Coturnix japonica: one gene and its partners. The protein of the gene in region 2 interacts with the protein of the main gene of each other region in a pairwise test. Links are inferred from orthologs where the notes say so. Each region holds a gene or a part of one and is shown on either strand. Other genes may lie near its edges. The genes, in order: ABI3, CEP44, CBY2, AQP1, POP5 and RNF8.

Region 1 (4,023 bases), on a different chromosome or scaffold from region 2:
TGAAGCTGCAGAGAGCTTTCCCTCGGGAACCACGGGGGGCTGGATGGGCTCAGGGACACGAGTGCTCCTCCTGCCAACAGAGCAGGCACTGAGCCCATGCTGACAGGACACAGAGGGCAGCTGCATTGGGCAGTGCACCCCATGGCTCTGTCCCTGCTCAGTGACACCCAAGCTAAAGATTCCCTACTCTACACCATCCCAGAAGCCTCACCCCATGGTGCCTGCAGACTGTGTGGTTATCTTCATCCCTTTCCGAGACAGTGTGCCTGTCCTGGACAGCTGAGTGCTGTGATCCTGCAGGCAGAAGAAAACACATACACATGACAAGTTCATTGCACTCCATGCCTACCATGCCCTTATAGTGCCCCAAAGGCCTTTGCTGAACCCTTCTCAAAAGGATGGGGGGTGGTGAGGGGCTGCCCCAGCTAATAGAAGTAGATATTGGTGCTGATAGAAGCAGATATTGGTGCTGCTGTCTGGCATTGCCACCGTGGGAACTGCAGCCCCAGCACTGTCACTTCCCCTTCGACTCCACAGCGGTTTCACACTGTGCACGTGGCTCTGATGCTGCTGAAAACCCACAGACGCCTTCCGGTGAGGGGGCAGCTTACAGGGGCAGTTTCAGTGCTGGAACAGCACTGTGGGTGTAATGCAACTCAGCCTTAGCCAAGCAACTCTGGGACTGTGTGCCTTTATGGCATTGTCAGTGTCCCATTCCCCTCCTGCACCAAGATGAGCCCCACTGGGACAAGTCCTGGAGGAAGCATAGACAGACCCCCTTTCTCCATCCAGGAGGGGTTTGTACCCCCACCAGATCACATAAAGCCCATCTAAACCCCCATCTACCCACGGGACACCCTCCAGGCTGACCTTTATGCCGTGACCGATGTCATCCAGGATGCTGAAGTTGAGGGGTTTCCTGTAGTAGGGCTCTAGGGAGGGTGGGTTGGGGGGGGATGTGATCTTCTGGTGGGATGGGAACCTCTTACTGACGGTCAAAGCGCCGATCTCCCGACGAGATACTTTCTCCTTGTGCATGTCAACGCTCTGTGGAGGCAGCAGGAAAGGCTCTAAGGAGCCCTCAAATATCAGGAAGAAAGTGAGTGGCTGCAGGGCTCTGAGTCATTGTCCCTAGTTCTCCAAGGGGACGAGGCCAGTGTCCACCGAGGGGAGATAACAGCATCTGAGCCTATGTGACTGCTGCAGGGTAGCTCCTTGGGGGCTTCCCCAGAGGCTGCCATGGTCCCCAAACACCCAGACTAAGACAAGCCCTTAAGAACAGTTTCCCACCCCTCGGTAGTCTTGTCCTTTAGCTTCTTGGGTGACCAAGGTGCTGCAGGGGCTGACAGGCCATTAAAACCACAAGAAAAGTTGGTCTCCAGTCCCTGTAAGCTGCTCCTTTCTCAGGGCTGAAACCCCACAGCAGTACAGACCCATGGCAGTGGCTGAGGTCAGACCCACCTGGGCTACACAGCTGACATTGGCCTCCAGCTTTTGCAGCTCGGCTGCCTGCAGGTCCAGCAGCTGCAGGAAGGTGGTGGCCAGGCTGCTGACCTGATAAGCCACACTGGCCAAGGACTGTGTGCTGAAAGCCATCGTCTCCTCCAGAGCCTTCCTCTTGTCGCTTGCCTGGAGGGTGAAACACAGCTGTGATGAGCTGGGATGGCTGAGAGCACAAAGTGCCGCCGCCGTCATACCCAAACCAGGGTCACAAGGGAGCAAAGGGGCTTCCTTCTGCTTTCCAAATGCATCACAGTTCCTCCAGCTCAGGCAGTGGGACTCAGCGATGCTCAGCACCATCAGGGTGCAGTGGGAGAAGCACAGAGGGGATCAGGAGGGTCTGTGCTGTTGGGACTGTTCCAGTCCCGCTGCCAGCAGCTGGGGAAGCAGTCTCAGTTCTCTGAGCTGTTTTGCATGCTTCCCCTTCAGAGATGCAGCTGGGGGGCTGTGAACCGACCAGAAGCTTCAGCATGAGAAAACAACCCAGCCCTGGATGATGCTTAACTGAGGCAGCAGCAATGCCCGGCCATGGGACAGAGTGCAGATTCACAGCCCCAGATGGGGTGAGGGAACAACCATCACCACTCCCTTGGGTCTGCCATGGGGGAATGAGGCTACCAAGGTGGGATCCTTAAAGCACCCAAGAGACCCCCGGTCAGGGCACTGTTCCCAGCCAATGGGGCCAAACCAACCCTTTGCCATCCCCTCAGCAGGTCACAGGGACAGGGGGGAGTAGGACAGCACAGAGCCCATTGCCCACCCTATGCTGGGAAGGAGTGAGCACTGTCAGCACCTCCCAGACCCTGAGCTGCCATCCCTGCTCCCCTCCAGCACCAAAAAACCCCAGAAGACCCCCCCCACAATGTCCCACACATAACCCTGATGGCTGAGCAGAGGGGAAACTGAGGCACGAGAGAAGCTCTCAATGCTGGGCAGGAAATGAATGGGAACAGCAAAGCCTTCACCCCCACACCATCCTCCCCATCACCACCACAGACCCCCCAACCCATCCCAGCCCCACACACATCCCTACACCCCACCTGCAGGTAGTTGCTCTCGCAATACTCAGCCACACGCTGCAGGTTGTTGTGGTTATCACGCAGTCCCTGCCGTGCTGCGGGGACATCGCAGGGCTGCAGCGGCTCCGCCATAGCGCTGGGACCGGAGCCCACTTCCTCCCCAGTCTTTAAGGCGCCGAGTTTTGAAGCTCGCGGTGATGCTGACGTATTGCTTTGCTGATGCTCCGTGGGTTGTCACCTCTCCCAGCTTCCCTTGGTGGAGGTTTGGAGGCTGCAGGTAGAACCTGAAAGCTGTTGGAGTGCTGCAAGGCCGCCTACAACTGCTCTACACATCCATACTCACCCCCTCTAATTCAACCAGCCCCATCAAGGGAGTATGGCTTCTTCATGAGGCTGAAGGCAGCATGGCCATGGGTAGGGCACCATTTCCAGGTCAGTGCTGCAGTTTGGCTCCTGACAGCCCAAATTTGGTAATTTGGAGCTTGCACCTCCATCCTCTGATGGAGCCTGGGGGGCAGGGGGCCAGGCCTGGCTCTGTTGCACCCAGCAAGGGCAATTCCCTTCCCCTTGCCTTTATGGGACTGGCAGGAGGAGATCTAGCTCCAGAGTGATGCTTCCATTGCCAGCTCATCTTCTCCAGACAGCCCCGTGCCTGCACCTCACCCAGCTCAGGCTGGGTGCAGCCATCAGTTTCTGCTTAGCTCTGTTTGCTGGGACAACACGTCCCTCCTTGTGCTTTGCTAATGGTTTTTCCCATCCGCACAGGACAGTGCAAGAGGCCACAGCCAAGGGCAGGAAACTCTCACTTCCCAGCACTGGGAGGGTCCCTCATGCTGGGAATCCCCCTCTACCTCCTCCTCCTTATGCTTCCTTGGGGCCTCCTGAGTTCTGTCCTCAGCTTTAGGGCTTCACATGGGCAAAGCAAGAGCCAAATGTCCATAATTGCCCACAGCAATTAAGGTGAGGATGAGGGAAATGATGAACCAGCTCTGCTTCTCACCCCCTTAATGGCCAAGAGCCACCCCAGCTGCCTCCTGCCCCCCCCATTCCATCCCATAGGAGAAAGGGATGCTCCCTTTGCTCCCCCAGCCAGGCCCCAGGCCTACATAGGCTCAAAAACACACAGTGTGAGCTCAGGGGCTGCTGAGTGCCCCACAAAGCTCATCTCCACCCTTGCCCTTCCTCCCTCACCCTCCCCTATGGCCCCACCACTGATTACCCCAAGCTTTGAGGCTAATGCCCAACACCTGACCAGCTTATTCTTCTGAGTCTATTATCAGCTTAGGGACCAAAGACATCTGCTCCTTGCTACAGGCTGGGAGATCCAAAGGAGTCTTCAAACAGAACAGTGCAGACACAGAGGACGGCAGCTCGATGGGTTTCTGAACATCTCCAGCAGTGAGAGGGGCAGCCCCTCATCCATACAGGTAAGTGGCTTTGCTTCCTCCAGGCACAAAGGAATTGCAGGTGTTACCATCACCCCCATGAGCTGATAGCACAGCTG
Region 2 (4,281 bases):
CAAGGTCAAACACAAAAAAGAACGTGAAGACAGATACCTTATAAATAGCTTCAATAAAGCGCAAGTCACTCTTTGCTGTAAGTTCCACATCACATTTCACCAGAAGTTCTGCTATGTAAGTTGAGAAGGATGTAAAAGAATAGCTAATTATGGGTAAAAACGCAGCTGGATCGCCCTTCACTAGCCTGTTAAGAAAGAAAAGTACTTTACATAGCAGAAGAGAATAAAAGACCATGCACAACTGCAAACATTTAACTTGGAAGGTTAATATAGCATACATGTTACACTCAGATTATATCTCCTCAATATGGCAAGCCCTTTACACCTCAATTATAGTGTTTTGCCTTCATTTTCAAGTTTTTTCTCTGGTTCACTTGATTGCAAGTACCTTTCCATGCATATCTCGTTTACTGCTATCCATAAAATGCCTGAAACAATGCTTTTTGTGACTTCCCATATGATCCCAACATGGTCAGGTCTAAAGCCCAAAAGTTCAATGTTAAATACCTTGCTCCATCTTTACATGATGAAATTTCCTGAAGAAAGTGTTGTGAGCACTTAGAAAGAAACAAAGAGATTAATCAAGGGGAAAAAAATTGCTCAGACTAGCAAAACTGAATTATTTCATCTTTCATACCACATGTATCAAACTCCAACTTCACACAGACGTAACCTCGCTGCTTACTTATCACTGGATGCAAAGCCAGTATCTTGCTTACACATCTTGCTGTCATCATGTATTAGCAGAAATTTATTGACACTATTTCTTACACTGTATAATCCACATCTCTTGGATAATTTATCATGCGAAGTCCTTGTTCTATTTTTCTTAAACTTCCTTTTAGGTCTCCTGTTGTCATTCTTCCAAACACTGCTCTCTCAGATTATGTGGCAATTGTAATTTTGTCTGCTCAAGAAAAAAATAAGTAAAAAAGAACACATTAAAATTACAATATACATCATTATCTCTGAAATTTCTCTTTTCTAGAGGCTAATATTTCTGATGTTACAAAACAGCATAGAGCTAAGGTTCAGTACTAATTAATATCCATTATTTCCCTCATATCACCCACATCAGGACTGAGTAGAAACACCTAATCCCATCCACTATCAAAGACCTTCAAAGACAGAGATCTGAATGCATATGAAGAATTTAGGGATGCTTAATCAAACAAAATGGAATGAGCTTCTTTATTATCTCAAAGGAGAACACCCTTCTCCATTAAACTATCCACTAAATCAGCCTAAAGTTGTTCAGGCAGAAGTGGTGCAACAAACTCGGCAGCCTAGGTACTTCAAGGTAGGTCTAAGTTTATTGGCACTATAGTCAGAAGGTCCAGTTTTAACCTCTACATCATAACACACAAGTCCCTGCTTTTTAGTTTATCATTCACAGGAGACTCACTTAATGACATAGTATAAACTACAAAATGGTGCCCCTCTCTCTGCAGAGTTATCTTGTAAAAAAGAAAGAAAGAAAAAAAAAAAAAAAGATAACAGAAGAAAATCAATAATGCATGATAACATTATCCAAATCAGCTTTGTCAAAGGCAAAAAGTGGTAAAGGAAACTTGTACATTTAGTGATACATTCTGGCCAAATTGATTAATAAATTCTCAAGTGGAGGAGAAGACTGAGTAAAAAAAAAAAGTCAATTGAACATCATTATCTTCACAGACAGTCCACAAGCACTGTTTGCTGTATCTTGTGAGCACATGTTTATAAGCAAACAATATTAGTTCTTCTCCAATGCAAAACTTTAAAAGCATAGACTGGATAACAGCCAAGCTTTCAAATCACATCTGAAAACAAAGCCTACATCTTAGCCTTCTGAACAGACCACTACAGTTCAAGAAAGTCTATTAGCAAATGTTTGAGAAGAAAGGAGTGGGGGGGGGGGGGGGGGAGGGAGGGGAATCAACATAAACACCAACAAAAGCATGTTAATACACAATATTCAGAAGATATGAAAAGTTCCATATGAACTTATGAAGTTATGAATATATGAAAATATGAATATGAGAAATGAAGTTATGAAAATAATGTTTCTTCAGAGAATTTCTCACATCCTTGAGATCGGCTTCTGAATAACTGCCATAATTGGAAATTGTAGTCTTTGCTGGGTTATGGACTTGCTAGAGGCTTGGGCCCAAAAAGAAGTTGAGAATGGAGTTAAATCCAGCTGGCATTCAGTCTTGAGGTCCCCAGGGCCTGGGACCTGTCCCATCTAATATCTTTACTGCTGATTAGGATGAGAGCACTGAGCACACCCTCGGTAAGTTTGCAGAGTTGGCCAGAAGCATCGATCTGCGTTGGGGCAGGAAGACCCTACAGAGGGATCTGGACAGGCTGGATCACTGTCTGAAAACAGCAGGAAGAAGTTCAACAAGACCAGGTGCTCTTTGATTATCATCTTCGTAGAATTCCTTTCCATGCCAACAAACAAACACTGAGAAGCCCATTAGTCCAAGCAGCAAAGAAGTATTGCCTAGTAAAATGCACGTGGAGATAATGCTCCCAGGATACACAACTTTGCCATCCTCTCCCAGCGGCGGGCACGGGCTGGAGTCCGAGGTGCCGACAGGCTGCGTCCTGCTGCCCCCCGCCCGCCCCGAGGCCAGGGCTCCCCTCCAACACCCGAGCAGCCCTGCTGTCCCAACCCTGCTCGAAGGGCCCGGCACTCACCTGCGTCGCTTCCCGTGGCCGGAGCCTCCCGCCTGCGGAGCCCGAATCTGCCGCCCCGCGGCACAACGGCCGCTTCCGCTTCCAGCGCGTCCCTCCGCGGTGACGCCACTTCCAGCAACAACAGCGAACGTCAAACCTGCCTAGCAGGAGGCGCGGCTGCGGCGGCTCCGTGCATGCCGGAGGGGCCTCACCGCCTCCCCCCACCGCTAGGGCCGCTTAGCCCCTCTCTCTGCCCGGCGAGGCTCACGCACCGACCCGCAGCGAGCTCGTCGCGGCGGCGGTTGGACCCGAACTCGTACAGGTACGAACCGCGGAAGGGCTCCCGCAGCCGGGCTCCGTCCACGGGCAGGCGGCTGCGGGATGATGGACGGGCGGCTCGGCTAATCAGAGGCCGAGGCTGGCTGTCGTGGGCCACTGGGACTCGGGGGCGGTACCACCGCGGTGGTGTTGCGAGGGGCTGGGGTCACCGGCTCCCTCGGCGCTGTCCGGCTCCGGGTCTGACTCGGGTGTATGGGGCTGTGGGGAAGGAAGCTTAAGATACGGGGATGGACTCAGACGCGGCTGTAGGGCTCGGTGCAATGCAAAGGCCTCTCGTGGAGCCTGTGTGTGTGCTTTGCTGCTTACAGAGCTACCAGGGCTACTACATCTTTGTCCTAACAGATGACATGACATTTACCTTGTAGTCTTCTATCATGGGCTCTACTGCAAAAAAGATTTACTCTGGAACACGGTAACACAAAGCAAACCTGGTTCTCGGGATCTCTGAAAGGTTAAGTCTGGCTGGTAAATAGCCACAAGGCAGGTGGTGCCAGGGAAGATCAGCCGTCCATAAATAAGCTTAGTGTCACTTTTTCCTGTCAGAGTTGTGACAGCCAAGCCATCAGAAGGTTGTGGGTACTAGCTGAAATTACATTAATCACAAGTTTGGAAACATACATTTCAGTGGCTTCCTGACTCTGGGGCCTGAAGATGGATGTTCACAATGTTACAATATCACAGTATTACAAAATTATTATTATTATTACTCGCCGTTACTCTTAGAGCCATACAGTCATAGAATGGCCTGGGTTGAAAAGGACCACAATGATCATCTAGATTCAGCTCCCTGCTGTGTGCAGGTCGTCTGCTGCTGAGTAGCCATGCAGTGTGTTCCCAGCAGTCAGCTTGAGTTGAGTCTTTTTGTCATCCCCAAAACTTATTCAGCTGGTGCTTAAAATAGAAATATGTATTTTTAATCATTTTTTTTTTAATTTCAAGAAGTCTTTCTAGGATTCGTGGATACCATAGCACTGTTTTGTTGGTTGTTTCTGTTTTGTCTTGGAACCATGCTGTTAAGTAATCTAAAAGCGATTGGGCTGTAAATGACGTGTCACAATTAGCATTCTGTGGCAAGATGAACCCTGTGAGCACCAGCAACAAACACTGGTATTCTTGTCAGCTCGGTATTGCTCAACAGAATGCAGCTTGTAAACAGGAACTACTAGCTGGGTATTGCAATAAAAACATTAAGCTAGCAAATAAAATTTGGATATTTGATTTAGGGCTAGAAAAACTTCATCCTATGCAACTAGGACCCGTTTACAAGTGTGGCCTGCA
Region 3 (3,944 bases), on a different chromosome or scaffold from region 2:
CAGGCTTTGCCTGCTGATAAATCCACGGTGCCCTTGTCTCTGTTAGCTCAGTTTTCTGTCGGCTCTTAGAACTTAAAACTTTCATTTAAGGTCTGTGCCAGTGGTCCACACACTCAGGTATTCAGAAGTTCAGCTGCCTCCCCTGAGAGCTGTAGCAGCTGGACAGCACCCTGGCACTGCCATCTGACTGAAGGCCAACTACTTCTTAGGGGGATATTTTCCAGTTTCTCTTTGTAGGACCCCAGAACTTGAACAGAGGAGAATGAACCCCGGGGAGTTGTCATGGGAACTTCTGATTTACTTATTTATTGTGTTGTCTGAGATGAAATAGAAACAAGGAAAAAAATACAGAAGAGAATTGTATGCCTAAGTTTATTATCTTTGCAGAACACTGAAGCCAAACTATACCTTTAACTTCCTAAAGCAATAACAGTCACTTTGGGATTGATGTCAAGTTGGTAATTTTCACTGGAATAGACATTAATTGCTGTATTTATTATTCAAAAACCCTGATGACAGGAAAAAAGATGAAGAAATAATCCACATCTAAAAGATTAAGCAAATAAGAGAGAGAATGAGATTATTAGAAACATAAAGACATGGAAGCAGGAATAGCTGCTATAAATAATATCTAAACTTGTAATGCATGAATGCCCTGCATGTTCTGTTTTCTTCTTAATGGGGTTCAGTGATGATCTACTCTTTAACTTATAGTTACAGAAAAACTCATATCCATGTTGTCCTTTAAAAATAACTTCAGCTGTCATAGCGCATACACAGAAGGAAGTGGTTTTTGAACTTATCAGCATTGGTTCAGCCAGAGAATTAATGTGTTAGATTCAGAATAAAAGCAAAATTTCTTTTAGGAGAGCGTGATGGAGGGAGAATCCATCTAAACTGCTCTCAGTTATGTGCATCAGAGAGGGAAGCCTGGGTTCAAGAAAGGACGTGAGAGCTAGGCTACTGGAAAGGTCGTTTCCATGAGAAATGACCCAAATGTGCAATGCTGGGAAAAATAAAACAAAATGGGCTGTGAGGGGGGAGAGGGGGGAGCTCCTGGACTTGTGGAGAAGGGGCTGGCTCTGGGCGTGGTGATCGCATCACAGTGGGTTCCATTGTCCCATCTCATCACCATGCCCCCCCCATACAGAACTTGGAGCAGAACTTCAGGCTAAAAAGCCAAGCGGAGACCTGGCAGCTGTGCAGGGCAGTGAAGAGGGTAGAGTATCATCTCCAACAAGCAGGTGAGTACATGCTGGTATGTAATTTGGTACTGCCAAAACACCTATATATGCTTGATTTCATGCGGTCTCCCCCAACCCTGCTCCTCCAACCCATCTCCCCATCCTGTGGAAGGAATTTTTAGTTTGGGAATATGAATAAGGAAGGTGGGAAAATTTCTCTGAAGCCTGGGTTGACCTCTCCCCTGCAATACACAGGAGCTGATAGAGGTGCTGTCAAGTTTAATTGACCCCAGGACAACATCCTTCAATGCTGTATACATTATATACTGCTGTTTATCCTCAAAACTTGCCATATAAACACTTTAAACATAAGTGGCTTTAAATGCCTGCGCATGAAACACAGTGAAGGGTGGGTCTTGGCTTGTGATGCTGGCTGTTTTCTCATCAGGGTTTAGGGATCAGTTCCCCCTGTGATTCAGCTTCCCATCATGGGGATAATGACAGGGACATCAGCACCCTCTGAGGGAAAAGGACAGGTCTGTGTGAGGCAGGGAGCAACAAATTGCTCGCTGTGCTCTGAACACAATGTAAGGGGGAAAAATAAACGCGGAAATTGGCAAGCAGTTGCAAACAGTGGGAAATCCCTTTTAGCAGAGGAATGACATTATGCAAACACAAGTCTGATGTGAGATATACCAGATGGCAATGCGGAAGGCAGCTCTGAAAGTTAAGCAGAGACCTTATATCAATAAAATCAAGTGTTACGGCAAACAGACCCATATTGCAATTATTCCTTCAAGAAGAGATTTGGGGCTTTGAACAGTAGCAATATGTCTTTGAGCTTTCAAGCAAGTTTGGGAAGGCAAAGAAGGAGGTAGCTGTGGGTGGTGGGTCTCAGAAGTAACTTGGAGGAGCCCAGGGAGGCAGCAGCTGGTGAAGGTTGTGGGGCAAAACAGGACAAAGGGTTCAGTGTCCTGGCAGAGCTGGGCCATGGCTTTGACCCCCTGCCAAGTGCTTGGGACAGATACAGAGGCAAAATGACTGCCCACCAGTCATATGGCAGCACTGGATGCCATATAGGACAGGAGGGTGACTGGAAGGCTTTGGGGCAAGAAGGATAAAAACTGGCAGTCAGCCTACCATTTTTTTTTTATCAGAAAAAAACCCAACAGTTTTATGCTGTGGTAAAAAGAAACAAATACTTTTGTTTTAAAAAGCAGTTCAATCTCAATCTCATTTCATATGACTTTCTGCATTTTATTTATCTTCCATGACTGTAAAACTGATGCAAGGGGATGAAAAGAGAGTCCAGGTTTTTGTATCAAACTTTGTGGTGCCACCAAGGCTTTGCCTTCTCCACTAGTGCCTGTTTTCTCCTGTTCTTGCAGTCCTAATCAAGCTTCATCTCCAGCTTCTGTGTCATCTAGTCCTTGCCAGTGGGCAGTGGCCTCCTGCAGTGGCCTCCTGCAGAAGTCTTTTCACAATCTTTCTCTGTTTGCCAACAGATAACCATGTCTGCTTTTGACCTGACAAACCAGAGCACACGGGGTACAAGGCCCGAGATGGACTGTGTCTTCCCACGGATGAAACTGAGGGATGAGACATTTACATTTATTGATGGTAAATGGGTGAATGAGGTGCACTGCCAGCCAACATTTGCATCCCAGAGGAGACTCCTTAACAAGAAGACAGAGAACGAGTGGAGCATCTGGGAGGAGAACAGAGCCCTCTGGGAGGAAAACCAAGTCCTCCGTATCGAAAACAGGATGCTCTGGGAAGAAAATAAGGCTCTGCAATATCTCCAGACACAGAACAAAGGTGTCCAGCTTGTTTACAGTGACATCATCCAGCAAAGCCTCCAGAAAGATAAGCTGTCCTCGTTCTTCCCAGAGAGGCATTTAGGTTTTCAGGTCAGTCCAAGCAACAAGGCTCTCCAGCTGGTCAGAGAAAGAAGCAGCTTCTTAGAGTTTTTCCATAAGCAGAATAGAACAGTTCCCAGCATTTGGAAAGATCAACCAACCTTCATAGTCCAAGAAGAGAACAAAGGCGCCAGCTCAGTTCAGAAGGTCACTGAATGTACCACAGCTGCGGGAGAAGGTAGCCCTGGCACATCCTCCCAGGAGGAGCATGATGCCAAAGAGGAGAGCACCACGCCAACCCAGAATGACACCAAGATTGCACCAACCGCAGAGGATGATAATGAAATCCTTCAGGCTCTCCATGACTTATACCAGATTCTCCAGGTGTTCCTCAAGGAGAAATGTCTTGCTGATGACAGAGACAGCCTTCACGCTCTCCAAGATGAGAAAAAATTCTTCCAGGAAGAGTACAAGAAATTGAAGCTGCAGCTGAATAACGTGAAAAACACTGTGTCAGACATTACAACTCAACTGGAAATGCTGGAGAAAGAGCTCATCGCCATCACTTTCCCAATATATGAAGAAGAAGGGAAGAACATGGCAAACGAGTTTCAACTTGGAGAGATTTGAAGCCTGGTGCTAAACCTGCTAGTTCTGTTTCCTGGAAAGTGCCTCTCTTTGTTTCCAGGAACTTAATAAAATACAAGCAGAGCATGAACTAAAATTAAAGCTGGAGAGTATTGTGTTATTCTGAAACTTTCTTATATTACCTGGGCAGATTTCAACTTTTGGTAGCGTGGTGCCTGGAAAGCATGCTTTTCAGCCTTTTGGGGGGGATTTTCTGCTAATGGAGAGCCTGCATATTCAAAAAAGAGTTCATTCTTTTCACTCTTAATTTGAG
Region 4 (4,023 bases), on a different chromosome or scaffold from region 2:
TCAGCTTGAAAAGCAAGCATGACATAAAAGCAAGTCTCTGCGGCATCCCCTTATGCTCTGTTTGCTGAAGGAGGCAGTGCAATGTGACTTCAGGATGTGCCCTGTGGGGATCAGCTTTGTGTGAGGACAGCTGTTCTGTTGTCCCCATGCTGGGCTCAGACCCATTGCCCCCTCAGTCCCTCATCTCCCCTCCCCAGCTGGTCCCAGCTGAGTGGGAAAAGAATGGATTTGCTTTCCTCACCAATTCCTTCTTACAGGAGAAAAGAACAGCTGCTGCTCTCCCTATCTCCTGAGATGTCCTCCCCCCGCTCTCTTCTATCCAGAACATTTATTGCTGGATGGGAAATAGAATATAAAAGATCAAAACTCTGAGTGTTTGACAATAACAAGACCAGGGCTTTTCACAGCATTTGGGAATGATTTCATCCACCAATCCACATGCAAAAAGTGTTGCCAGATTTGTAAAATAAGCATGGAGGAGACTTAGAGTATACATTCTCCTACCACTGATTTTATGGTATTAAAAAAGGTGCACTGAATGTATTCCAGAGGGAGGGGCAGGGCTTGCACTCTTGAATGCAGTTTTTGAGATTCACTGCGTGATTTTTCCATCTCTGACTTCTCTCTATTTGGATGCCCTTGTGCAGAGATCTGACTTAAATCTTTGTAACTTGAAGAATTACCAACAGCGGAGCAAGCTTTTGAGGTGGTCCCCTACACCCACTTTGCAAACAACCAGTTTCAGGAGCTTCAGGGCAAGGGAAGGAGCCAGCCACTAGTGCTCTGTGGCAAGCAAAAGGCAAAGACCAAATGGGAATGCTGCTGAAAGCAGACCTCCCGCGTTCCATGGCAGCTGGCAGCCAGACCTCTCGAGGAAACCACCGGGGCGGGTGCCCTGTCCCATGCGGTTGAGCACTTCCCTCTGCCAGTGGTTTCAGAGGAAAGGATCACGTCTCACACACGCAGCCAGAGCCCGCTGGAGTTAATGAAAAGATTCCCTCTTCTTCCCCCAAAAATGTTTTGGATGATCCCACAGGAGTTCCCAGATGGGTGGCAGGGTGAGACCCCTGCAGGGAGGTGAGCAGCCAACACAAAGAGCAGCACAAATGGGTGGCGCTGACCTCCTTAATGTCAGCTTCTGTATTTTCAGAAGCTCCTCTTCCTCGTGCCACAAAATGCTTAAAACTTTTTTCTTTGTCTTTTTCTATTTATTTATTTTTTTCTCCAAAATGATTTCTGAAGTGATATTGTGCTTGGACCTTTGTGCCCCAGTGGGCTTAAGATTTCAAATACATCCAAGTTTCAAACTGTATCAACTATTCTGCAAGAAGGGGGGCATAGAAAAGCTATGAAATAAGCATTCTTAATAGAATCAGGTGAGATAAGTGACCAGAAAGGAATTTCCATTTATAGTACTCCTCTGCATACTGCCTTGCTGACATGCGCTGATACTGGGATGATTTCATGTTGAAAAGGGTGACTGTCCTTTTTGCCCCATTATAGTCCAGTGGCAACAGCAAGAAAGAATAACGTGTGAAAGAGGAGGGGTTGCCACCAGGCAGCTGTTTGTATGCTGTAATGGACAATAGCTGTGAGCACCTGGATGGGAGAGGGCTGAAACCTGCACCTCTCAAAAATGCAGATTCTTCACCTCATCCTCTGACCCACACCTGAGAAATTCATATTTCCCCCCATTTTTGCACAGCAAGAGTAGGAAAAAGAAGAAAAGTGCAGCTAAGATTCTGCATCAGGCAGGATGAGAGCACTGTGCCAAATGCAACAGATGATGCTCACACCTTTGGTGACAGCGTTTCTCCTGCTACCCATCTCTCACTGGTCCTGTAGGTTCTTACACTGCACTTATCAGGTTACACAAACTATTAATGAGGTATTGAAAAAGAGCCACATTCACAGAAGTGAAAACACCAGTTTATACACATTAACCAGCATCACAAGCCAAAGACATGTTACCTGAGACCTTCAGAACCAGGAAAGAGACTCAGCCATGCAAATATCAGTGATTTCAATGTTACATTGGTACCAAAAGTCACTTTTCTGCAGCATGGATATGCAAAACTGAACACGAGCAAAACTGATAATGACCATAAAGCTCTGAAAAAGAACAGAAGGACCATCCCTACAGCATCTCTTACCAAAGAAAAGGATTAAAATAGTGCTTCAGCTGATAGCAGTGAATGCACGCATCCTGGCATCAGTCAGGACAAGCTCTCTGCCTGAGGTTACCACCAACATCACACACATCCTTACAGGTGTTGCCCTCACCTTTCTAGTCTGGGAAAAAGAGTCAAGGGGGGAAAGCAAAGTTTCAGCTTACCGCATTGAGCCCCAGGGAGTTGTAAGGCAGAGAGGAGGTGACTCCGGACAGGATAGCAGTGGCCACCACTGCCCCCAGGCACTGAGCGAGGATGTACATCAGTGCCTTGAAGATGCTGATCTGGCAGCTCAGCAGGAGGCCCAGGGTCACCGCCGGGTTCAGGTGGGCACCACTGATATGGCCCACGCTCTGCGCCATGGTCGCGATGGATAACCCAAAAGCCAGCGAAACCTTCACGTTGTCCTGAGTTGCTGATGTCCCGTTGACTGACACTGGGAAATTAAAACCCAGGGCCGAGCCAATGCTGATAAAAATAAAGAGGATCATGGCAAGGAACTCGGCCACCACTGCCCTCCAGAACATTTTCTTTTTGAATTCACTGGCCATCTCTCCTCTCTCTCTGCCCTCCTCTCTCTCTTCTGTTCCTTTCCCCTGCCTGGTATTTTCCCTTCGAGGTCTGAAGAGAAAGCTGGAGAGAAAATACGGTCCTTGGATTATTTATAGGGCTTTGGGTGGTCTGTAGGAGGGAAGGGGTGTTGCACAAAAGGAGGAAAGAACATCTACATCGATGCTGACTGTTAGATTGATGTAAGACACTGCACGCTTGCCAAAGTTTTTTCTTCCTTTTTTTTTCTCCCTCTCTCTTAACTGCCTTCGATCTCTGCTGCTGTTTTTAAGAGGCTTTTTCAAGCCCTCGGAAGAGCCCTTGGGAGAGCCCCGGGAATGTTACCCTCACTCTATTTAACATCCCTCATCCTTCGGGTCGGAGCAAGGGCTGTCGCGGGGTCTCTGCCTGACAGAGGGCTGAAAGGAGAAGCACTGAGCTGAATTACGGCACACAGCTCTGTGGCAGCTGGGGGACAATGAGCAGTAGTAAACAGAGCTGATAACTAAATCCACGCTCCAGAGATGGAAAGATCCCTGTTTCATTTGAAAACAGACAAGTCTCTCCTGCTGGTTTCCTGGGGACCGAGTACATTTTGGATGCCACCCTGATCGCGGACGGACAGACACAGAGCAACATGCACTGATCTGAGCTGACTGAGGCAGGGATCGCTCCCCACCTCCGTGACCGCGGTGTAAATAGAACCGGACACCACAGCAAGGGGAAGCTTTCCACGGCCGTGATTCCTGTGTGCTGAGGGATAGATTCATTTCTATTAATATTTAATTATTTAATTTACCTAATCTCAGGGTTTCTTGATCAGCTCAAAGCAGCCGCTCAGGGACTCCCCAGCCCACGTCCTACAGTAAAAGTGCAGAGGAACATCAGCTGTCACGGGGGAGACTGAAACGGGGACGTAAGGGGAGCGAGAGGGAGAAGGGGCATTACATGCTTGATTTTGCAGACAAAATGAATCAACAGACAAAGCCAGAATATCCTCGGCAGCAAAAGGTCTCATCGCTCCGGGCTTTATTGCGGCAGGACGTGTGTGCATGCCTCGGATTAACCCTTGTGCTCTCAGAATGCTGCGGGCTGAGAGGCTGCTGATAGCATATTCTGTAAGCCAGGGGGCTTCCTCGGACTTACAGCTGCTCAGCATTCGATCCAGAGGCAGAAACAAAGTCCCCAGACACAAGTCTTGAAAGAAGAGCACTTAAAATCATCCCACTGCTTTGCCTCCTCCTTTTTCTTCTTCTTCCCTTGAAGCACCGCTGCTTCCTAAACTGCATTTAAATTAATTTGA
Region 5 (4,171 bases), on a different chromosome or scaffold from region 2:
GGTTTGATTTGAAGCTAATGAGTTAAGTGGTGTGGATTTTGTTAAATAAAATGAACTGTAGGTGTAATGTACCAGTCAAGGCCACCAGTTGCAATAAATCACATGCGCACACTTACAATACTGCAGACTTTTTTGAGCTATAATGTTTGTACCACCACAGTATCATGCCACTTTTGGTAACACGTGCAAATTTAGCATCCTACTCATGCTATGGGTTCCCTTCAGGAAGCTGGTATGAAGTACCATGTAACATAGGGCAAGAGTGACAGGTATCTTCTGTTACATTCAGCCCCACCTGTACCAAGAAGTGCATTCACATGGTGTTTGAAAAGCTTATGCTTCCATTAAGAAGCAATCCATGCCCCCCCTCCCTTCTGCACTGTGACCAGTTTGAGCAAGGAAGTCGTGGAGTTGAGACTCCTGTTGTTAGCCATCCTCACACTGATACACTCATTGCTTTTATCCCTCCCTAAAAAGGCTGTCAGCATATCGGTGCTTCATGTCAAAACAAGAGGCTCCTTCTACAGGTGCTTCCTGAAGGCACCCAAGTACCAAAGAGCATAAACCAGTCTGCAGCTGGGAGACAGAAAGGGGGGGAGACTGGGGAGGTCAGGAACGTTTCTGTTGTGATAGGAGAACAGAGGAAACACTTGCAAAACATTCTTTGAAAGCAGCTTAATTTCACACTTGGTCACAACTAACTACACTTGAGGGAGAGCAGAGCTTGCCAAGGGAATACAAAGAACCAGAGCGCCCAGGAGTGGTGCACAGCTTGTTGTTAATGCTTCGAATGCACACAGGAAAACTGGTGAGGGCACAGAAAAAAGTCATGAAATAAATTGAAGTATGCAGTTAACTGCGTTCACAGTGCGATTGTTTTCTACTTGTGTCATTTTAAGCTATGGAACAGGAGTATCTACTTGAGTGGTCTCCAAAGGGCAGACCTTCAAGTTGCGTCTTGTTTTCCCATGGATTCAAGAGCTGTGAGCAGCAGTGCTACCTTCCTGTAACTGATTGGTGTAACCTTAATAAATACCTAAGCAGTAATTGTACCTATGAGTTTTAAAAGGGGTTGGATGGAGCTGAGCCATGTAGTTCCATGTTGTGTTTGCTGTAATCTATGCTCCCATGTAGACAATCGGTGCTTTTGTGACCTGAAGCACCAGACAGCCCCATGAAGAACAGGTGCCCTGGAAAATAAGGTCAAAAACTGAAGTTCCTGCTCTCTGTACTGAAGGAGCATAACTCCATTTCTTTCCCATACAACTGCCTAAAGCTCAGTTCTACCTCAGCATGAAGATCACATTGAGCTTCTCTGCTCCTTAGGAGCAGTCAAAGGTTTGAATCCTGGAATAAAAGAGGCGAAAAACCTACTGCAGTGTAATCTTTTGTGGTTTATTTGAATGCATTTTATTTAAGAACATTTGGAAGAGAGAAATGAAGTCCATGCAGGGACATGAAAAGCACCTTTACTTGCTTTACTGAACACAGTAAGATGGTCGATGCAGAACAAAGGTGAGCAGGTGCTGCTCAGTCCGTCTCTGTGCCATCCTCCTCCTCCTCCTCCTCATCCCCACTCTGTGCCTGCTCCTCTGTGATGGAGCAGCTCATCACGGCCTGCTGCACCCTGCGCCTCTCCTCTGCAAAGCACACACAGTCATTGTGCCCTGTGCAAAGCACACACAGTCAGTGTGCCCTGTGCAAAGCACACAGCTCAGGTGTGCCCTGTCAAAGCACCACAGTCCACTGTGCCCTGCTGCAAAGCACCACACGTCACTGTGCCTGTGCAAGCGAGCACACATCCAGCGTGTGCCCTTGTGCAAAGCACACGCAGTCACTGTGCCTGTGCAAAAGCAACCACAGTTATTGTGGCTTGCAAAGCACACACAGTCACTGTGCCCTGTGCAAAGCACACGCAGTCACTGTGCCCTGTGCAAAGCACACACAGTCACTGTGCCCTGTGCAAAGCACACACAGTCACTGTGCCCTGTGCAAAGCACACACAGTCATTGTGCTGCAGCCCTATGAGCGGAGCCGGCCGGCACAACTCACCTTCATTGGCGCAGTTCCGCAGCAGCAGGTGCAGCTGCCGCCTGTTGTATTGGATCAGAAACTTCTGGCAGGTTCTGATGGTCCCTGCAGGAGCGGCACGTAACAGCCCTCGGAACCACCCGCACCCAACGAGCGCATCGGGCACCGCCTCCATTAGTGCAGGTGCCGGTTCGGTCCCGGTTCGGTCCCGGTTCCGCCCTCACCTCCCACGTGCAGGGTGCGCAGCGCGCAGTGGAAGCGCTGCCCGCGGCTCTCCAGGTGTCGCACGAGCGGCAGCGCGGCGCAGAGCAGCGGCCGGCATGGCTTCCTGCAGCGCAGCAGCACGGTGCCGGTGTAGGCGTTCAGGTATTTCACTGCGGACACACCGCGCCCGTTACCGCCCGCATCCCGCCCCGCCCCACCCCGCGCCCCGCCCCGCTACCTGTGAACGACACGCAGCAGCAGCCCAGCCCGTAGTCGCCGTGCGCCCTAACGATGGCGTCCCTGACGGCCAGTCCCACAGCGCGATCCTCGATGCAGCGGCGGCAGCGCGGGTCGTCGGAGAGCAGCTCGCACAGCACGTACCTGCGGGCGGCGGGCGATGCCGGTAACGGGACGGAGCCGCCTCACCGCGAGGAGCAGCCTCACAACTCACCTGTTCTTGAAGCGCACCATGCCGCCAACCGGCCCTTCCGCGGGGATGCTGCTCCCAGCCAATGAGCGAGCGGCCTGCGCTCAGCGCGGCCAATGGGGCGGGGAAGGAGGCGGGACTTCCCGTCCCGCTCAGCACGCGCGGCTCCGCTCTTCCTCTTTGCCTTCCTTTTCTTTGCGCATGCGCGCTCCGTCCCGCGCTGCCCACATCCGCCGCGCGGGGCCGCTCGTGGCGGGTGGAGGCGTCGAGCGGCGGCTGGGCCGCGTGTGAGCACGGGGCGGATCGGGCGGAACGAACTGAGCGTGGGCTCCATTGAGGACACGGCGCAAACGGCGGCGCGATGCCCGTCCGCGATGAGCAGCAACCGCCGGTTCTGCTGCTCCCGCTCCGTCCCGTCTCCGCTCCGTCACCTGTGGCCGCACTTCAGGCAGGTGGCAACGAGAACCTCAGTGGGGACAACAGCGCACGGCGAGGCCGGGCCTTGGGCGGCCTGTACGTGTACGATGGGCTGCGGGCACAGCCGGGCTGCGCTGCGGCTCCGTGCTCCGACACCGGGCCGTGCTCCGTGCCCTGTGCTCTGTGCCCTGTGCCCTGTGCTCTGACACCGGGCCGTGCTCCGTGCCCTGTGCTCTGTGCTCTGCTCTGTGCTCCGTGCCCTGTGCCCTGTGTCCTGTGCCCTGTGCCCTGTGCCCTGTGCCCTGTGCTCTGCTCTGCTCCGTGCCCTGTGCTCCGTGCCCTGTGCTCCGTGCTCCGTGCCCCGTTCCAATGCAGCCGCGTGGCGCTGCTGTCTCTCTTTCCCCCCGTCTCCGTGCTGTCCCGCTGTGTCCCCGGGCTGTTGGCAGTGCTGTGTGCTCACTCCGTGCCGTGCTGTCTGTGCGGTGCCGTTCCCCTCCAGCCCGTTGTGTTGCTGCCGTTCCTTCCCTCCCCCGCTCTGTGCTGCTGCAGAGGCGCAGCTGCGAGCAGCCCGCGTGAGTGCAGTGCGCCCTGTAATGCGATGGGACGTGTGCGCTGTGCGTGCACTCTGCGCCTTGCAGAGCCGCCGTTTGCGGTCCAAGGAGCTGATGAGGAGAGACACGGTGCTGGGACAGCGCTGTCCTGCTTCATTCCGCTCAGGGTACAGCCCTTAGTTCCCTGCTGTTGGTTTGGGTAATGCACAGAGCAGCCCTGAGCCAGCACCGCTCCCTGCACACACAGCTCGTGTTTGCACAAGCCGTGCAGGTTTGCTCGGGATTCACGGTGTGCTGAGCTGACAGCGCAGGAGTAAAAGATTCCAGCACCTCCACCTTTGTTTCCTTTCCTCCTCGCTGCATCCTCTGCGACCTTTGCTGTATTGATTTGTGCCAGTGATTCAAGAAGCAAATCATAAGTGACGCTGAGTTACGTGGTCAAGGTGGGAAAGAACAGCCTCCAAAAATAGGGCTGGAGAGGGAAAAATCCAGAAGATTTCTGCAATTCCAGTTGAAGAGTGGCTGCAGAGACCTGCCAGGA
Region 6 (3,500 bases), on a different chromosome or scaffold from region 2:
CATTTTGTAGTTACAGCAGTACTGAGAATATTCCTGTCCATAACAGAGTGCTTACAAGAAAGAACAGCCACTGTTAAAGTCCCCTTCAATCTAAAGAATCTACAAACTGGATCAATCTTCATATTTTGTTGTTTAGGGTTAAATTAGGCTTCCGGCATCTGCTACATCTTCTAAGAACTATCCTTAAAGCAACAGTTGCAAAGCTGACAGAAGAAAACAAAGCAAATAGCCAGAGGAATGAAACATCATAATTTCCAAGTGTAGAACACAGCACAAGATCACTTTAATTATCTTCCACTCATCATCTTGACAGAGGCAGGAAGAAACATGGCTTATCTCATTCGTTATTAAAATGTTACGTTGTCTCAGTCCCGTGCTCCCTTGTTGGACTGCTGGAACATGCTGCAGTTTCACTCCAGTCCACGCAAACTGAAAATGAAGCACCCACTTTTCCAATACCCTTGTTTGGTTTTCTTTTAAAGAAAAGAATGGGTCAGCTTCTCCTGCACAACATTATTCAGATGTCCTGTGCTTTCTGTATCTGGTAATAACTCTGCAATACTACTCCACAAACAGAGCAAAGAGTATATCTTATACAGAGTGAATCAGCCGCCAGACCAAAATACAAGAGCTTTTCAACACAGAAGGCAGCACACAGCCAAAGCAAATGTTAAATCATTTATTCTGCCACAGCATATCATATTCCAATTACGGAGAACTTAGTTTTATTACTTACTTTGGTTTCCTCCAGTTCTTTATTCTTGGCTCGAATTATCTCCTCAAAATCTTTTTTACTACGGCTCAGTTCTTCCATCAAAGCATGATGCTGTAATGATACCATGATACCAAAAATAAGAGTGTTATTATAAGCTACCCTATTAAATACACATGGATCTAATCATGAGGTTCAGCACACTCATTTCTCCTTTCTTCTCCTGTAAGAGCACCAGCTCTATATAAGCCAAGGTGTTAAGGAAGTTCACCCAACACCTACAACTTACTTTACATTTCATTTTGCTTTTCTGGTCACTGTCTTGAGTGCATCTGTTACATTTGAGTATCAAGGAGTATCTGACACACAAGTGTCACAAAAGCCTGTCAGAAGGGCTGGTTGAATCTCTTTTTGGATTAGCCTTAAAACCTTTTAGACAGAAAGCCTAGGAAAACTAAGCATTTGACAATCTCTTTCAGAAACATTCCTAACCAAAACTAGTCCTTTTTCCTGTGGTTTAAAACTACCAAGGCAGCTTTCCCAAAACAGATAACCAGAGGACAGACCTAGCAAAAATATCCACCAGTATGTGGACCGGATTCAAGTAGAACCACTACACTACTTAACACTTTCTAAAAGCACAGATTCTTGTGTTATCTGCTGATAAATAACAACTCTCAAGAAGGGAGGCCTGTCTCTTCCTAGCAATAATTTAGTCTGTAGAAGATAAAGACCACTCAAAATGCACTTTAGACACAGTCCTAGTCTTCCACCAAGAGTGGAAGCAGTAAGATTTAAGTATATGAGTTCCATATTTAGACCAAGTAGATTTAATTACTTGCCTCTTGCAGAACCTGGACCAGCTGCTCCTTCAGATTCTCTTCCCCATCCTGCCCTTTTACTCCCTGAAAAAAAAAATAAAAAAAAAAAAATCAAACACCAAAACTAGACATTCTTGCAGTAAAGCAATTATTGGAGGAAGAAAAAAAAATACTTGAAGATACCACGGGAATGAAAAGAACCATTTTGCACATTTAGAGGATATAATTAAAGCAACAAAACTGATTTTCAGCAGAAACTGAAAAGGCCTACTGTAGAGATTCAAGTGTACTACTGAAATTACAGCTCCCATTTACTGTGAAGTGCTAAAATGAATGTATCACTTACAGTTCCATACTTGGAACAACTCCATGTTACTCTAGCTCTGAAGACACTGCAATGTTCACAGAAGCCAGGAAGCTGGCAATAGCTTACACATGAGAAAAAGTTGAAGCTCTCTCTCTGAACACATTTAAATAGGCCAGACAGAGTTACAGCTTCAGGTGAACTTCCCTTTATCCTAAGCACACAACTCCAAACCTCCTGTACTTCTGATACAGTATTCTGCTTTCAGCAGCAGACTTTAAAGGAAGTAACTGATAAATCAGGTAAGTAACTCTCAGACGAATCCTTACTTCCCTTGAACCAGATTTCAAGTAGAGTCAAACAGAAAGATAGACTTGTAGCTTCCTATCTAAAACAAGTTATCAGCATCCACACAGTGCTAGAAGGCACTTGCGGGTAGCAAGAAGAGACTGTTTTTCTCCTAATAAAGACAAAACAAAAAAATCAACAACAAAAACCCCTCCTTCCTCAGACTCTGAATTAAGACAGGCAAAAAATGATGCACTTGCTTGAAAAGGAAATAAATTCCCCACGTGAATTTAGCATTAATTCAGAAAAGCTGTATACTAAGAAAAAAATCCCATTTAACGTGAACGCTTTTTAACGTGTCCTCTTTGTAACCCACAGAGGGTCAGAGTTTTAGTTTCGTAATTGGAAAAAAATATATATCTCAAAACACACAGACTGAAATGATTACCACCATCATACCTCTAGCTTCTGCTTCTCTTTGGAGAATGTCCTCTCCAGCTCTTCCACCTGCTGCTGATGCTGTACTTGTTCTGTGCACAGTTTGTCCTGCAACTCTTGCAGTTCCTTTTCCATTGCTAGGATCGTCTTCTGAGCAGCCTTCCTGCGCTTCTGCTTCGCATTCAGAACTGCTGTCTGTTTCTCCTGCACTTTGACTTTTAATTTCTTTATATCTGTGAGATTTTTCCTCAGCTTTTCCAGGCCAGTCCATGACTGAGAAAGAGCGGAGTGTTTCTGGTCCTTGTGAGCAACAGCCACAGCTTTCTCAGAGCAATCAAGGCTACCACGCACTGGACCACCATCGTCCTCACTTGATCCAGGAGAGGGCAGCCTGACAACCCCCTTGTCTGTCAACTGTTCTGCCTCTCCTACTCTTCCCAATGTATTACTCAAAGGTTCTCCATCACACGACACTCTGTCCCTTTTGGATCTGGAATTTGAAGGGCCTTCTGATCCACATGTCTCCGATTCTTCCAAAGTAAATTTACGTTTAGGTCTTGAGGTCCTAGCTTTCCCCAGGTCACTCCTTTGGGCTAAAAAGGGTTTGATTTTCTCCCACTCCTCTTTAATTACTTCATACTCAAATTCAGCAGTCTCTCTGTTTTCCAAAGGCACTCCCAACTGGATACGGTCTCCTTCTGCTATAGGATAGGTTCTTGAAGGATCCAGGCGCTGTTTATTAAGCCAAACTCCATTTAGACTCTGAATACAAAGAATCAGCAAGGTTCAATATACAGTTACAAAGTCATCTGCAAGTTATTTCTGGCAACTGTAAACATATCCAGTCTCTGCAGTATTGCAGTCAGAACAAGCCACCTCTTTAAATAAACCTTGCAATTTCCAACTTAATGGTTCAGTGTCCCATTTATTAAATCAA

What was found.
Region 1: the proteins of CEP44 (region 2) and ABI3 interact in binary tests that used the Homo sapiens proteins (3 or more experiments, as listed by UniProt). The two-hybrid records come from large-scale screens. The link is inferred for Coturnix japonica from reciprocal best matches to the Homo sapiens genes CEP44 and ABI3.
Region 3: the proteins of CEP44 (region 2) and CBY2 interact in binary tests that used the Homo sapiens proteins (3 or more experiments, as listed by UniProt). The two-hybrid records come from large-scale screens. The link is inferred for Coturnix japonica from reciprocal best matches to the Homo sapiens genes CEP44 and CBY2.
Region 4: the proteins of CEP44 (region 2) and AQP1 interact in binary tests that used the Homo sapiens proteins (3 or more experiments, as listed by UniProt). The link is inferred for Coturnix japonica from reciprocal best matches to the Homo sapiens genes CEP44 and AQP1.
Region 5: the proteins of CEP44 (region 2) and POP5 interact in binary tests that used the Homo sapiens proteins (3 or more experiments, as listed by UniProt). The two-hybrid records come from large-scale screens. The link is inferred for Coturnix japonica from reciprocal best matches to the Homo sapiens genes CEP44 and POP5.
Region 6: the proteins of CEP44 (region 2) and RNF8 interact in binary tests that used the Homo sapiens proteins (3 or more experiments, as listed by UniProt). The two-hybrid records come from large-scale screens. The link is inferred for Coturnix japonica from reciprocal best matches to the Homo sapiens genes CEP44 and RNF8.

What each region holds. Positions count from the first base shown.
Region 1 is NC_029542.1:3,004,010-3,008,032, forward strand, and holds the start of ABI3 (ABI gene family member 3), read right to left. Parts: upstream 2,801-4,023; 5' UTR 2,652-2,800; coding exon 2,541-2,651; intron 1,630-2,540; coding exon 1,462-1,629; intron 1,048-1,461; coding exon 871-1,047; intron 295-870; coding exon 212-294; intron 71-211; coding exon 1-70. UniProt on the Homo sapiens protein: May inhibit tumor metastasis. In vitro, reduces cell motility.
Region 2 is NC_029519.1:38,907,365-38,911,645, reverse strand, and holds the start of CEP44 (centrosomal protein of 44 kDa), read right to left. Parts: upstream 2,801-4,281; 5' UTR 2,686-2,800; intron 2,554-2,685; exon of another isoform or gene 2,067-2,553; intron 908-2,066; 5' UTR 861-907; coding exon 772-860; intron 186-771; coding exon 38-185; intron 1-37. UniProt on the Homo sapiens protein: Centriole-enriched microtubule-binding protein involved in centriole biogenesis. In collaboration with CEP295 and POC1B, is required for the centriole-to-centrosome conversion by ensuring the formation of bona fide centriole wall.
Region 3 is NC_029516.1:150,251,945-150,255,888, forward strand, and holds CBY2 (spermatid-associated protein), read left to right. Parts: upstream 1-1,144; 5' UTR 1,145-1,244; intron 1,245-2,689; 5' UTR 2,690-2,695; coding exon 2,696-3,673; 3' UTR 3,674-3,772; downstream 3,773-3,944.
Region 4 is NC_029517.1:953,034-957,056, reverse strand, and holds the start of AQP1 (aquaporin-1), read right to left. Parts: upstream 2,801-4,023; 5' UTR 2,723-2,800; coding exon 2,336-2,722; intron 1-2,335. UniProt on the Homo sapiens protein: Forms a water channel that facilitates the transport of water across cell membranes, playing a crucial role in water homeostasis in various tissues.
Region 5 is NC_029530.1:8,204,929-8,209,099, reverse strand, and holds the start of POP5 (ribonuclease P/MRP protein subunit POP5), read right to left. Parts: upstream 2,801-4,171; 5' UTR 2,707-2,800; coding exon 2,687-2,706; intron 2,617-2,686; coding exon 2,474-2,616; intron 2,406-2,473; coding exon 2,256-2,405; intron 2,137-2,255; coding exon 2,053-2,136; intron 1,668-2,052; coding exon 1,531-1,667; 3' UTR 1-1,530. UniProt on the Homo sapiens protein: Component of ribonuclease P, a protein complex that generates mature tRNA molecules by cleaving their 5'-ends. Also a component of the MRP ribonuclease complex, which cleaves pre-rRNA sequences.
Region 6 is NC_029518.1:27,120,547-27,124,046, forward strand, and holds part of RNF8 (E3 ubiquitin-protein ligase RNF8), read right to left. Parts: intron 3,326-3,500; coding exon 2,585-3,325; intron 1,618-2,584; coding exon 1,555-1,617; intron 827-1,554; coding exon 737-826; intron 1-736. UniProt on the Homo sapiens protein: E3 ubiquitin-protein ligase that plays a key role in DNA damage signaling via 2 distinct roles: by mediating the 'Lys-63'-linked ubiquitination of histones H2A and H2AX and promoting the recruitment of DNA repair proteins at double-strand breaks (DSBs) sites, and by catalyzing 'Lys-48'-linked ubiquitination to remove target proteins from DNA damage sites.